Chlamydomonas reinhardtii: one gene and its partner. The protein of the gene in region 1 binds, or shares a complex with, the protein of each later gene. Links are inferred from orthologs where the notes say so. Each region holds a gene or a part of one and is shown in the gene's direction. Other genes may lie near its edges. The genes, in order: CHLRE_16g688750v5 and CHLRE_17g712000v5.

Region 1 (4,393 bases):
CTTTGTCAGGTCTCTTTACTCATTGCTCACAGGCGGATAAGCCTCTGCTAATGCTATGCGCACAGAGGCGCACACCCCACCAACGTTCCAGCAACCACGTCTTCCCGCACCCAGACCCATCACAAAGCTGGTCTGCGAACGAGGCACTCCTCTGTCCGTTCATGGAGCACGCGCGTGAGCAGGGCGCCCCGTGCCAGCTGCTTACTCATCGCCCTCCACCTCCTCCATCTCCTCCTCCTCGTCCTCGTCACCTGCAGGGTATGCAGCATGAGCACACGGAAGTGACTAACAGGTAAAGCGCTGTGGCAGGAAGGTGCGTCCTACGCATTGATACTGCGAAGCGATCGACCACAAGTCAACTGCTGGGTGCCAGTCAACTGGGAAGGTGGTGGATGCGCGATGCGCGCCACGAGGCGGCAACGCCTCAACCCAAGGACGACCCTCTTTCTCCCCTGGCTTCACGCAGCTCCGCGCGGCTCCGTCCCCTCGCGTGCCCCGCACCCCGCAGCCACCCCGCCGCCACCACGCCCACAGCCACCCAGCCCACTCTTGCCCCAGGCCCCCATCCATCCCTAAATCCGTCCCCACACGGCACGCCACACGCCGAACCCCAGCAGCACGCCTCACTCACCCTCCTCAATCGTCTCCCCGTCCGGTCCCGCGGCGCCGGGCGGCACCAGGTACACCTGCCCGCTGCCGTCCTTGGGCATGACCACGCGGTAGCCCATCTGCTGCAGCATCTTCAGCATGGCTGTGTTGTTGCCGCCTGGCCCCGCCGCGGCCGCGCCCGCCGTATCCACCTCGCTCTCGCTGTACCCCTCCATCACCTCGTCGTGTGGCTGCACCTCCACCTCCTCGTCGTCGGCGCCGGCCAGCAGCGGGCCCTCCTGGTCGCGCTTCACCTTGTAGTCCCGGCGCGGTTTGCGCTCCGCGCCAGCCTTATCAGCGTCAGCCTGCTCGGCCTTCGCGGCGCCTGCCGCATCGGGCGCCTTGGGCGCCTTCTTGCGGTTCTGTAGGAAACGGCGGACCAGGTAGCCACCGACCAGCACCGGCAGGGCCCAGGCTTGCACGATGTTGAGGGTCGCGTCGACCAAGTTGGTCTTGGCCTTTTTAGATTTCCATGTTTCCTTGGCCGATAGACTAGACCCGGCGTAGGTAGACATGCTCGACGAAGTGCAGACTAGTTCGCGAGGTGCACACAGAGCCGCCCAAGCAACGCAGTGTCAATTCCGCAAACCCAGTGTAGGCAACTATAGATATACTGAGATCTAACAGTGATTGCTTGGAATTCATTCCAGAACGAGTATTTCGGGCGAGCTCGCATGGACAGCATGGACCACGGTGCAACAAGAGTAAAGGAACAAACATACCGTAACTGCATTCTTTCCTCATACTACACATTTTGTGCACAAGAAAGAGCTTAAGGCCGCTGCGCGATACCAACAAATCTTCCTGCTGCGCGGGGCTCTGGCTCCTCCCAAAAAACAATTGTCTCATGTTACTATAGTCCAAAGTAGCAAAAATGAACAATGATGACTTCCGAAGACTGCTGGCAACGCCCAGGGCGGAACGCTTTGGCGGGGAGACACCCGCAGCAGGCAAGTCTGGGCAGGCGCAGGCGCAGGCCAAAGCCAAACCCACGGGCGAGTACCGGCCCAAGCCCAAGCCGGGCTTCAAGAAGCCGACTGACAAGAAGAAGGAGGATGAGGACGAGGACGGGCCCAAGTACAGGTATGACGGGTCGCACGGCTTGGGTGAGGAGCGCAGTGGACACGCAGGCCGTGGGCACCTCCCAGCTCCCACACGAGCGGCCGGCATGGGCGCCGCTATTGGCGACCCCGCGACACCGATGTGCATGCTGACATGAGCCTAACGATGCACAGCGCACATACTCCACTGGACTCGTGTCACGCACCCTCCACGCGTCATCCACCACGCCCATCCTCCTTGAAACCTTGACAACCAACAGGGACCGCGCGGAGGAGCGCCGCCGCGGCAAGAACAGCGACTACGAGGACGCGTCCGCGGTGCTGTCTGCTCTGGGGGGCAGCGGCGGCGGCGGCGGGGCGGGTGGCGGCGGGCCCCTGGGCCCCGACATTGGCCAGGTGCGGCCCTGGGCAGGACTATGGCCGGGGGGCCGTGTGCTAGGAGAGCACAAGGGGGGCGGTTGCCTGTGCCAGTATGCGACGATACTGCTGAGGCGGATGATTTAGGAGAAGCGGGAGGTTACTTGCAGCGCCAGCCGTGGCAGTGCGGGCTTTGTGGCTTGGGCGTCTTTCCCTGTTGCTTGAGGATGAGGGTGCTCGACTGCGGCACATGCCGTCCGCATCCAATAAAGATTACCGTTCCTTTGGCCGTAGATGGTCCTTCATTGGGCCGTCCCGTCTTGCATGTTGTCATGTCGCAACCTCACACTGTGTCCTGCCCGGGCTGCCGGGGTGGGCAGGTGGATCTGAGCAAGCTGTCGGAGGAGGAGACCAAGTACCTGGGAGGCGACATGCGCTTCACCCATCTGGTGAAGGGTCTGGACTACGCCCTGCTGCACAAGGTGGGGGCGTGGGGCCGTGCTGGCGTGGGGGGCCGTGCTGCCGTGGGGCCGTGCGGTCAGTGAGGCACTGGCAGCGGGGTGCTAGCCTCCTGGGGAAGGACAGTAAGGAGGAGGGGTGTGTCACGGAGTGCCAGGATCGGGGAGCACCTGGGACACTGGGGGGAGCGGGCAAGGCTGGGGCTGCAGACAATGGTAATGAACCGCTAGACAAGTCTTTCAACGCATGCACGCTGCATATGCGCAGACGCGGTCGGAGATCACCAAGAAGGGAGACAGCGACGAGGAGGATGAGGAGCACGGCGAGGGGCACGGTGCGCGGAAGGAGGCGTCACGAGAAGCGGCGGCGCGGGCGGCCGCCAAGGCCAACGCAGCGGCGGGGCGCAAGGAGGAGGTGTGTGCGCATCCGGTCGTGTGCGAGGTGCTTCGAGAGGGCGCCCCAAAAGGAAAGGGTTGGACTGGATTGTGAAGGGGGGGGCTCATTCTTGTATGCTGAAGGTCTTGGTCCACGTAGAGCCTGCGCCGCACGCCTGCGACGTGTGACGGCTTCTAATGCCCTTCACGACTCCCGCTTCTGACCATCCCACTGCCCACACCCGCGTTAGCATATCCGTTCCTTGCGCGTACACACATGCTCATGCCGAGCAGGTCCGCTTTGTGACGCCGCTGGCTCGCTCCGTCTTCAGCACCCTGTTCGCGCCGCCGCGCGCCTCCAACGTGCGGGAGATGTACGGCCCCCGCCGTACGGCCTTTGTGTACGACTTCGACAACGAGGACTCGCCCGACACCGACGTGCCCACCACACTGCGCCGGCCCAAGAGCGAGTGCCCGCAGGTGCGTGCGCCGGCTGCCTGTGCTCCCGGCCCTGGAGGCGCATCTCCAGTGCCCCGTGGACCCATGCTGAGATGCAGTGGGTACCGCACTTTGAATGCGCTCGCCCACGCTGCCGTAAAATATGTTGTCCCATTGCTGCCCGTGTAGGTGGCTGAGACGCTGTTTGCGGCGGTGGACAACGCGGTGTTGGAGCGCATCGCCAAGATCATGAGCTATGTGCGCACCACCGCGGACGGCAAGAAGCTCAAGAAGAAGGACCGCGACGCGCTGCTGGTGCGTGTGGGGGCTTTACGTTGGGTTGGGTAGCTCCGGGTGACTCGGTGGGTGGCTGGATGACTGGGTGGCTGTGCGGTTGGGGCATCAGCAAGTGGCATAAGGTCGGGTTCGGATTAACCGGTCGCCAGTTACAGGTTTGGGGGCTGGGGGTTTGTGCGCACGTGTTACGCCATACAATGGAGGCGTGGAGGACACGCAGTGAGGGGGGGGGCGCTATTTCACAGGCCGCGCAGTCCAGCAGTGGCGATAGCGAAGGTCTTCGCACCGCATTACACCCCAGCGTACGCGTACCTGTCACACTAACAATCGCACCGCCAATCGCGCCTTGCGCATACCGCCCTTGCGCATACCGCCACTGTAGGGCATCAAGTCTGAGGCAGACGCCGCCGAGAAGGACCTCGCCGGCGTCTCGCCTGGCGCCCCGGCCTCGGCCGCGGCCGCGGAGCCCGCCAAGCCGGCCGCCCCCGTGGACGACGATGAAGACATATTCGGAGACGCCGGCACCGACTACCAACCCACCACCAAGGGGGCGAAGGCCAAGGATGCGGCGGCTCCACCGGGCGCCAGGTGCGGCCGGCGGGCGCTTTGGGCTGGAAGGCGTGGCGTGTTGGTGGCATGGGGGCTCGTGATTACCCTCGGACTTGTGTGTGCGCTCAACGACCTGTCTCAACGACCTGTCACCCGCGTCGCATATCTACCGCATCGGCCATGCCTACAGCACGCACGCACGCAATCACG
Region 2 (4,484 bases), on another chromosome or scaffold:
CCCCCTCAACCGTGCGCTTTTCCCGGGGAACACTTGTCCCGTGCCGACAGCTCGCCCTGGCTACTGACGCGTCCCGCTTACAAACAGCAAAGCGGATGCCGCTTGCATACTCACACCGTGTGACAAAGCTGCGCACGATATCTCGGTGCTACGTACACGGCAAATGGCGTGACATGGCACGGCGCTCACCGGATCGGGCGAGCGAAACAGACAGGGGCGCAGTGTAGGGGTGCTTTGCAAGTCGGCATCAATCAGAAGCTTCTTTACATCAGGACCAGCTCGTCGCTTATTTGTGCTGTCAAAGCGTGTGCCCGCTCAGGCACACCGGCACAGCTCCGCATCGGGGCCCACAATCCACTCCCCGCCACCATCGCATCTGCACGCGTGCGCTAGCCCCAACCTATCTCTCCTAAAGGTCCCTGCACGCTCACACCGTCGCGCCCTCTTTCAATATCTGCAGTGAGCCTTTAAACGCTGCCGCCGTGGCCCTGGCGTCCCCCAGCTGCTTGTCCAGCTCCGCCAGCTGCTGCCGAAGGTGCTCCTGCCGCGGCGCCACCAGGCCCCGCACCTCCCCTAGCGCCGACTCCACGTGAAATCCTAGGCCCACGGACACGTAGATCCTGCTGACGTCTGGCACACGCGCCGCGCACTTGACATCGCAGCCCACGTCCACACGCTGGCCCTCGAGAGAGGTGGCGCCGTCCTGAATGCGGTTAGGAGGGGTTGAGGTTAGGGTGGGGGTAGCAGAGGTGAGGCGTTAGTGCTGGGATTGCATGGCGATGCGAAGTAGAGTTTACAAGTGGGTGCGGTGCAAGAGAGGCGAGGTACGCATGCGGGTAGCGGGGCATAATGGAGCTGGCTCGCCGCCGACCAGGTTGCAACGGGTGTTGCCCGCACCCAGGCGATAACACAACCTTCCAGATGCTGCCACTCACCTTGACGAACGTGGCCACACCGGCCACAAGCTTTTCGTACTCGTCTGTGAAATGACACCGCAAGAGCAACGGGTGGATGTTGCGGCGGCGGGCCAACGCGTTGATCCACAGGCCATATGTCCATAGGCCAGGCAACGGCCTCACTCCTAGTTTGAGGCCCTTCTTCCGCCGTATCCCACGGCTTTCCAACGGCCACTCCTACCCTTGACACAGTTTGGCCCTCCCAGTGTAACTGGACACGCCCGCCCCAAACCCCAGTCCGTCCAACTCACCCGAGTCCTCTTGCAGCTTCGCCCTCCGCTGTTCAAGCTTATCGATGTCTGCCTCTAGTTTCTCCTTGTATCCCTCAAATTTCCCTAGTTGTGCCGCTAGTTCGGCCTGCGTCAGTGGGGCATCGCCGACGTCACTTTCCGCAGGCCGCTGCATCGTTACCGCTGGTGCAAGGAATTCACAGAGCATCAATAGGGCTTCTGGGCAAGCGTGTGTTTTGTTACAGGCTGGCGCAGACTTGGGATTCATGTAGGCAATCCGCCCAGCTGAGCAAAACTCCTGTCTCTGCAAGCTGCATGCATAAGACGCTGTACTCATAAGGGCATAATTGTTCAAGGTCTGCATCTGCGAACGAACTAACGAGCGAGGGCGAGGGTTAAAAGGAATCTTCTGAAGTCGTTTCAGCGTCTAGGTTTAGGTTCAGGAGCAGGTGGCTATGGCGCGTGTGTATGTCGGTAAGTGAACGATAGTATGCTGAGCTGCTCTGGCTAAGGGGGCAGCCGCTGGCACCGCTCTTGGCAGTCACGCCTCGTGTCTTCGGCTGTCCAGGTAACCTGCCCTCGGGCATCCGTGAGGAGGATTTGGAGACAGAGTTCGTGCGCTTCGGCAGGCTAAGGAACATCTGGGTGGCGCGCAAGCCTCCAGGTGAGCGAGCGAGTCGCTGCAATTCTAGCGATCGCGGCGCGCTGTGCACCGTGCTGACTTTCTGCGCGCCCTATTGTCCTCCAATTTACCGCAGGATTTGGTAAGCATACACGCACCTCGGGAGCAGCGCAGGGGCCAAGACAGGCGAGGGTCTAAATGTACTCGGCACGGCCAGTTGGGCTCGCCGCTCTACGCTGGAGGCTGGACAGAGAGCGCATTGACCTAACCCCCGCAGGATGACAAGCCTCGCTGATGCGACCACAACCCAGCCTGACCTACTGTCGGCCCACCCTCCTGCGCTCCCCAACCCCGTCGCACGCATCGCCTTCTCCTCTTCCCATCTCCAAGCACGACCCCATCAACGCACACCGCCTGCGTCATATATGTACTGGCGGCAGCTCATCTGCTGCCGCCCACTGCGCCTTCTCGGCTCGTCCTAGTATCGCATCGGGCCCGTCCCCTTCCCTCTACCCGTCGCCAACCCCGCCGTCCTCGCCGCGCCTCAGCCGCATCACCCTTCACCGTCAGCTACACCCATGCCCTTCAGCAATGGCCCCTGTGGCCTGTGCACACGTCAGCAACGACCACGCCTCAGCCACTTCAACCCTCACCAGCCTGCACCGCCTCACCTGCAACACCGCCCCCACACCTGCCACCTGCTCGCCCACTGGCGGCCACCCGCCACCGCCTGTGCTCGCCCCACCCTCCCTGGCGTAGGTCGTGGGTTGCACAGGCAGCGCGCGGCTTACACTAGCAGTCCTCGTGACTGCACACACGGGAAGCAGCTCCTCGCTTGCTCCGCGCCTGCCCTTTGCCAGCAGCCTCATTCAGCCTCATTGGATACACCACAGGAAATAGAGCCTCTCAACAACATTGAAATGCCGTTTCCTGACGCCTGCGCCCTCCCTGTAACTTCCTCCGCTCTCAACCTGCAGCGTTTATTGAGATGGATGACCTCCGTGACGCGGAGGACGCGGTGCGCGCTCTGGACGGCATGAAGGGCTGGGTGAGTCGCGACGCAACGTACGTGCTGCCGGTGACTTGACGAGGTTGTGGGTGACCTGGGTGTGTGTTGCGCAAGGTAGGCTTGATGTCAATGAAGTGGATCGCTTATCATGGACACAGAACTAAGTGTTGTTTGGCTTGCTATTCCTTACTGCAGCGTGTGGAGATCTCCCGCAACCGCGGTCCGCCCCCAGGGCGCGGCGGCGGCGGCGGCGGCGGCGGCGCCTTCCGCGGCCCCCCCCCGGACCGCTTCGACGACTTCCGCCGCAGCCCGCCGCGACGCCGCAGCCCGAGCCCTATGCGCCGCCGGAGCCCCAGCCCTTACGGCCGCCGCGCCAGCCCGCCGCGACGCCGGTCGCCCAGCCCGCCGCGCCGCCGGTCGCCCAGCCCGCTGCGCCGCCGGTCGCCCAGCCCGCTGCGCCGCCGCAGCCCCAGCCCGATCCGCCGCCGCAGCCCCAGCCCCATCCGCCGCCGCAGCCCCAGCCCGCCACGCCGGTAAGCGCTTTTGTATTGATGTGTGATCACAAATACGTTCTGTGCCGCCTCTTGACTCGCGTGCTGTCGAAACGTTGCGGGTCATCTGGCGGACTTGGGCGGACAGCTATTTCAACGCATTGCTTCAAATGTTCACATTAGTCGCCCAATCCTTCAAACGTTCATGGTTCCTTTTGTAAACGTAGGTCGTCCCCGCGCCGCGATAGCCCTGTGGGCGAGCGCCGGCCGCGTAGCCCCAGCCCCATCCGTGAGCGCTCAGCCTCGCCGCCCCGGCGCTCGCCGCCGCCGCTGCGGAGCCGCAGCCGCAGCCGCTCGCCTGTACGCGACTAAGCATGGCGGCGAGAGTTGGCCACGGCGCTTTGGCCGTTGGCCAGAGCAGGGTGTGTCACTAGTGACGTGTTTGTTAGTTTACGTGATGTGGGTACTGGCAGTGCCGGGTAGTTCGAGGGGCAGGACGAGGGGCAGGAGAGGGTGCACAAGCGCTTTTGTGATACAAATCATGAAGTCGAGCCCGATTGGCTTGATGGTCATGGCAGGCGCCGCCAGAGGTGCCCCCGGGCGCCGCAAGGGCAACCAGGCATGCTGCAGTGGAAGGGATAGGATGGCGACGCCTAATACAATGAAGTGACGAGTCTGGTGTCCCGCGGAGGCAGCGGTTGAGCGCCCGTTGAGAGCATGCGGGCGCGCAGGAGAGAGTAAGTGCGGTGCTTGCGCGTGTGCAGGTGTGCTGCGTCCCAGGCATGGGGGCTATGGGGCGACACGAAACATGGAGCTGCAGACGCCAAGGAGGATGCCAAGCTGCCGGAGTGGAGGCATGGAGCCAAAGCAACAAAGCGGAAATACAAAGCTTAGGGAACTGTAACGCACTGGCTGTTATGTGCCGCGACTCATGTGCAGTAGCTCAAACCCCACGCCCAGACGGCCAGACCCCTGCGCGCACAGCAGGCATTGGTCGTACTCAGTCACCTTCAAGGCGTTCAAGCTTTCATCCGTTCCGGTCATCCAAGCTATCGTCCAGGTCACCTGAGGGCCCGTCTGTCCGTCCCGTTGATGAGTCAAGACTGCTTATCACTCCAGGATTGTCCGCGTCCCGACCTGTAACCCATCGTCCACCGCCGCAGCACCCTGCGCCGC

The links.
Region 2: CHLRE_16g688750v5 (region 1) and CHLRE_17g712000v5 share a complex: the UniProt entries of both Arabidopsis thaliana proteins name them as parts of the spliceosome. The link is inferred for Chlamydomonas reinhardtii from reciprocal best matches to the Arabidopsis thaliana genes SMU2 and RSZ21.

What each region holds. Positions count from the first base shown.
Region 1 is NC_057019.1:3,685,835-3,690,227, reverse strand, and holds the start of CHLRE_16g688750v5 (uncharacterized protein), read left to right. Parts: upstream 1-1,392; 5' UTR 1,393-1,522; coding exon 1,523-1,731; intron 1,732-1,969; coding exon 1,970-2,105; intron 2,106-2,446; coding exon 2,447-2,548; intron 2,549-2,792; coding exon 2,793-2,939; intron 2,940-3,193; coding exon 3,194-3,379; intron 3,380-3,526; coding exon 3,527-3,652; intron 3,653-4,016; coding exon 4,017-4,222; intron 4,223-4,393. Other genes in the region: CHLRE_16g688800v5 (uncharacterized protein), read right to left, coding at 202-251, 632-1,163. UniProt on the Arabidopsis thaliana protein: Auxiliary spliceosomal protein involved in splicing of specific pre-mRNAs that affect multiple aspects of development.
Region 2 is NC_057020.1:2,067,927-2,072,410, forward strand, and holds CHLRE_17g712000v5 (uncharacterized protein), read left to right. Parts: upstream 1-1,529; 5' UTR 1,530-1,641; coding exon 1,642-1,660; intron 1,661-1,754; coding exon 1,755-1,850; intron 1,851-1,944; coding exon 1,945-1,950; intron 1,951-2,785; coding exon 2,786-2,856; intron 2,857-3,012; coding exon 3,013-3,350; intron 3,351-3,535; coding exon 3,536-3,680; 3' UTR 3,681-4,224; downstream 4,225-4,484. Other genes in the region: CHLRE_17g711950v5 (uncharacterized protein), read right to left, coding at 428-703, 936-979, 1,208-1,361; CHLRE_17g712050v5 (uncharacterized protein), read right to left, coding at 4,419-4,484. UniProt on the Arabidopsis thaliana protein: Probably involved in intron recognition and spliceosome assembly.